Tribolium castaneum: one gene and its partner. The protein of the gene in region 1 binds, or shares a complex with, the protein of each later gene. Links are inferred from orthologs where the notes say so. Each region holds a gene or a part of one and is shown on either strand. Other genes may lie near its edges.

Evidence for each region. The genes of interacting proteins can lie anywhere in the genome.
Region 2: Dpm1 (region 1) and Dpm3 share a complex: the UniProt entries of both Homo sapiens proteins name them as parts of the dolichol-phosphate mannose (DPM) synthase complex. The link is inferred for Tribolium castaneum from reciprocal best matches to the Homo sapiens genes DPM1 and DPM3.

Annotation. Positions count from the first base shown.
Region 1 is NC_087396.1:17,388,779-17,391,661, forward strand, and holds Dpm1 (dolichol-phosphate mannosyltransferase subunit 1), read left to right. Parts: upstream 1-1,353; coding exon 1,354-1,568; intron 1,569-1,615; coding exon 1,616-1,826; intron 1,827-1,873; coding exon 1,874-2,284; 3' UTR 2,285-2,373; downstream 2,374-2,883. Other genes in the region: phosphoenolpyruvate carboxykinase [GTP], read left to right, coding at 1-91; kappaB-Ras (NF-kappa-B inhibitor-interacting Ras-like protein 2), read right to left, coding at 418-660, 709-975, 1,027-1,125; V-type proton ATPase subunit G, read left to right, coding at 2,543-2,624, 2,711-2,883. UniProt on the Homo sapiens protein: Transfers mannose from GDP-mannose to dolichol monophosphate to form dolichol phosphate mannose (Dol-P-Man) which is the mannosyl donor in pathways leading to N-glycosylation, glycosyl phosphatidylinositol membrane anchoring, and O-mannosylation of proteins; catalytic subunit of the dolichol-phosphate mannose (DPM) synthase complex.
Region 2 is NC_087401.1:8,499,681-8,501,981, reverse strand, and holds Dpm3 (dolichol-phosphate mannosyltransferase subunit 3), read right to left. Parts: upstream 976-2,301; coding exon 826-975; intron 781-825; coding exon 703-780; intron 655-702; coding exon 601-654; 3' UTR 545-600; downstream 1-544. Other genes in the region: uncharacterized protein LOC656609, read left to right, coding at 40-544; ATP7 (copper-transporting ATPase 1), read left to right, coding at 1,200-1,233, 1,286-1,424. UniProt on the Homo sapiens protein: Stabilizer subunit of the dolichol-phosphate mannose (DPM) synthase complex; tethers catalytic subunit DPM1 to the endoplasmic reticulum.

The sequences.
Region 1 (2,883 bases):
GAAGTATTTCAACGAACAGGTCGGCTCGGATCTACCGGAAACTATCGAACAAGAACTTAAACAACTAAAAAAGAGAGTCAATGACATGTAGATTTATTCACAAATCTCACTTCAAACATTTATTGCAATTGATAAATGTAACTACTTTTTAGGCTTAGTTTTGTATCAAAGTATTTTATAAGAGATTAATTTTTTATACAAGTTTTATCAAAGGTATTCTAAATAAATACTTTCAATTTACAAGTTCTTTACTTTGTTATTTAACTTAAAATTATGCTTAGTCATTTCAGAAGAAACCGGAAAATTATCACACATGTTTTTTAAAAAATCTTTATTATAAACAGATTCATGATTTACATAAATCAATAAATAAAATAAATAAATGCTTCAGGATTTAGTCTTGAGTATTTGAAAAAATTAACTTTGATCCTTGACCTTTCTACCCATAGATAAAGGCGTAAACGTACTTTTACTAGGTGGAGGATTCAATTTACTCGTGATATGAACAAAAGGCTCATATAACGTAATTCTGTGCATTGCAGATGCCGTAAAATGCCTCAATTTCTCTCTATTGCACCAGGCCGTGGCTTTACTCAACGTAGAGTCAAATTCCGTATTTTCAGTCTCTTTAAATTTATTTCCTATCACAATTATAGTAACCTATAATATCAATAAATAAATAAGAGTCATTTTTTTAGTTGGACACACCTCTTTTTTATCTTTATTCTTATCAATGTCCTTCTTGAGTGACACTAACATATCAAGTGATTCTGATTTCTCGGTATCATAAACTAAAATATAACCGTCAGCAATCGCCAAATAGTGTCTGGGGAGCTGCTGGTTGGTGGTTCCACTAGCTGTGGCCGTTTGGAGCGGTTCAAGGCCCGCAGTGTCATAAAAACGAACTTTTTCTCTTGTGCCTTTATCCGACTCAATATTAGCGACGTAAATGTCTTCAATAGTAGAATGTAACTCCTAGAAACCCCTCATTTAGTAAATCTTCAGCATTAGGACTGTGATACATACACTCTTCGAGGTTATATTACCGTAAATGACTTGCTCCAAAACTGCGGTTTTACCGACCCCTTTCATGCCGCATATCACTACTTTTGATGTTTTACCCATTTTGGGGCTGCCTGGAGTATTGTTTATTTCAAAACGTCAAATTTGACACCTGTCGTTGTCACAGGTGACATTGACAAACAAATACCAACGTATCAAAAAATTATTAATCATAAAATTCGCAAAAACCAAATGTTTGGATTTATTATCGATTATTTTGATACTTGATCAGTTCATTGTGCGCAATTAGTGATTGTAAATTGCTTAGCTAACTCGATTACGTGTCAATAAATGCGCAACTATTTTTTCGGTTTGTTGGCTATCCTGCTTTTCGCTGTTCTAATTCCTAACCTCAAACGTGACGAGAACAAATTTGAAAATTCCGGCAAAATGGGCAAAGAAAGTAAAAGTAGTGAAGACAAGTACTCGATTTTACTACCAACATACAACGAAGTGGAAAACTTGCCGATTATCGTATGGCTGATTGTAAAATACATGGAAAAGAGGTGGGGCTTTTATTGCTTCTCTTCCCATTTTTAAAGCCACGTTTTAGTGGATATAATTACGAAGTAATCATAATCGACGATGGAAGCCCCGACGGGACGCAAGATGCCGCCAAACAGCTCCAAAAAATTTACGGCGAAAATAAAATCTTGCTAAAACCAAGAGAGAAAAAGCTGGGACTGGGGACTGCTTACATCCACGGAATGAAACACGCCAGTGGCAATTTTATTCTTATTATGGATGCGGATTTGAGCCATCATGTAACATGCATATTTTTCGTAAATATTACCTAATAGAAAAATTTTAGCCTAAGTTTATCCCACAATTTATTGAAAAACAAAAATCAAAGGATTATGATGTAGTCTCGGGGACGCGTTATGTGGGCTCTGGTGGTGTTTATGGTTGGGATTTTAGAAGAAAATTGATTTCAAGAGGAGCCAATTTTCTAACACAACTTTTACTAAGACCTGGGGCCTCAGACTTGACTGGTTCTTTCAGATTGTACAAAAAAGATGTTTTAGAGAAGTTAATCAAAAGTTGTGTTTCAAAAGGTTACGTTTTCCAGATGGAAATGATTGTGAGGGCGCGCCAATTTAATTATACCGTCGGGGAAGTCCCTATTACTTTCGTTGATAGGGTTTATGGGGAGTCTAAGCTTGGGGGCTCAGAGATATTTCAATTTGCTAAAGCTTTGCTCTATTTGTTTGCCACCACATAATTTTATATTCTGCATTCCAATAATTATTTGAAATAATAAATGAAACATTTATGTATGTTATTTTTTAATAAAAGTGCTTCTATGAAATATTTAAATTGTTTTTTATTAATATTGAATTGAAAAACATGTGACCGTGACACAATTGCCACTAGCGCCACCCTATCAATCCGTGTCGACTTCCCCAACTAGCGATCATATGACATTTGCCTCAATTCAGGTGTACTCGTACTCCGATTTCGTGGTGAATTTTGAGTGAGAATGGCAAGTCAAACCCAAGGAATCCAGCAACTCTTAGCTGCGGAGAAGAGAGCGGCTGAAAAAGTGTCAGAAGCCCGCAAACGTGAGTGTTTTTTGCGAAAAAAGCCCAAACATGAATCGCAGTGGGCGTTCATGTTTGACAGTCACGAGTTCTCAATTGTTTTACAGGTAAGGCCCGAAGGCTCAAACAGGCCAAAGAGGAGGCCCAAGATGAGATTGAAAAATACCGCAAGGAACGCGAACGCCAATTCCGCGATTTTGAGGCGAAACACATGGGCTCTAAAGAAGGGGTTGCTGCCAAAATTGAGGCGGACACCAAACAACGAATTGAGGAGATGAAC
Region 2 (2,301 bases), on another chromosome or scaffold:
ACCCTGTATATTATATTAAAATATAATTTGGGTTTGTAGTATTCGGCTCAATCCTCGACAAGTCAATGTGAGACAGTTTCGCGTCCAGGAGGTGCCCCGCGAAATTCGTAAACGTTTTACGGAGACATCGGAGGGGCCCCAGCAAAAGAAGCCAAAGGCTGATGAGGCTTTGCCCGGACCTAGCGGCCTCCAGCCGATTCCAGAAGAGGTAAATGAGTCTGATAATGAGAGGGCCCCCTCACCGCCGCAAGAGCCCCCCTACTATCGTAGGGTTTTTTTCCGCGGTTGTCCCGTCATACAAATCGAGAATCTTGATGAAGTCAAGAAGGACTTTTCCGTACCGTTGAAACGACTGTCTTTAAGGGGGTACAAGAAGATTACCAATACGGCGCTACATTACATCAAGGATTTGGAACTCGAATTGTTAGACGTGACCTATACGAGTATTACAAAGGACGCAATCGAAAATTATTTAGTGGAGCACCCTTCGTGTCGGGTGCTCCATGAACAGTTTTGTACGTGCCCCCCGAATTTGCATTTTTAGTTTTCGTGTAAATATTGTGATAGGGAATGGAATAACTACCGTTTTTTGTAATAAATTTATTTAAATCGGAAACCTAACTTGGCCAAATCCGCCCGTGCCTCCACTATCTCCTAAAAGACAAAATTTGGTAAACACACAAAGTAAGGCCACACATTTACCTCTTGCAACTCCGCGGCGGCTTTCTCACAATCATTGAACGTAAAAACACGATACAAAACAACAATTATTGCGTAAATCTACAAAAAAGTGAAAATGTTTCACATAACCTCACTTTGACTCACCCCAAATAAACCGACAAAAATAACCGGGGAATAAAACACGGCAGTGGGGTATTGCCTCACGAAACCAAACTCGACCGTGTTCGTCACTAGAGACAGCCACACGGCCCCCAAAGCCCCCAAAACGGCCACCCACTCAAGTAATTTCGTCATGTTAGGTTATGTTGGTGCAAAAATGAAAAGTCCCCAGGAAACATCTGCCAAAAGTTTGGCTATTTTTGTCAAAATTTGAAAGAATTTCCCAAAATTGTCGATAATTAAAAAAAATCACTCGTTGATGATAAGAGCACGGGACGACTCGAATTCGCACGACTCGATAAACAATGCCTCTGACAACAAAGACTTGAGTAAACAATAGAAATTTTGAAATAATTACAATGGAACTGAGTACAGTGCGCTTTGTGCCCAAAGGTGAGCTTCCAGGGGCGCGATTTGGCGGTTTTGAGACAGTTTGGGGTTCCAGATGGGGGCAAGCGCAGCGCCAGGGATTTGGACACGCTCAGGGCGCAGATCCAGAGGATTGACGGGACCACGGTGAAAATCCCTCCAGACCAGTCATTTGTAGACGTTACAATACCCGAAGGGAATTATTACTTGATCCGGTAAGTGACAAGATTACGTTTTTTAAGATTAGATATGCAGTGGTTCAATAAGTGTTGGCAAGTGGTGGCAACATGTTCAAGGCGCTCAGAGGGGCGAAGCCCCAGTACGTCAGGCTTGAAGCGTAAGTCCGAACCTTGAATCAATTCGAGGTCGCTTTTCACTCAAATAATGAGAGCAAAGAGCGGATTTACTTTCACCGACACTTCAGTGCGATTTTTCACAATGTTGGGTCGGTGGTTGTTGTGATTTTGTGCCATGTTTGGGTACAACCGGAAGTATGTGGTTCGATTTTTATCTGTTTGTTTCATTTTTCAGTCAACAAGTTTGATTTTTGCCCATTTTCACTCAAGTCGTGCACGTGATTCAATGAGTTTTTTGTTGCGAATAATAGAGTAAAGCCTTGAATTGTGCGTTAGCTAATATAACTGATAAGTTATAAATAATTGTAGGTAAGCGACGCAAGTATTAGCTGCTTATCTAATCGTTCTTTTGAATACAAAAAACATTTCACTGTTAAAATTCTTGTTGCGCCATTGGTGATTTATTTACCAAATTATTTCCTTTATTCTCAGGCTCGTGTTTTTAAACAAAAGTGAAAATTATTTTTTCTTTCTTTGGTTCCAATCCAACTCTAAATTTAATGCTTGGTAAAATTTACTTTCTATTCAATGTCAATATTATGCAAATAAATGTGCAACAAAACGTGATTATAATCACGTGGCCTCAATCTCTCTAAAACTAAATTATATGACTTGGAGAAATTTGCAAATAAATTCTGTTCTAACAATAAGACAGTTGGTGACAATGTGAATAAATTTTTGGTTGTCTGATGCTTTAAATTCTTGTTGTTTTTTCTTTTCCGTTTTATTATAAATA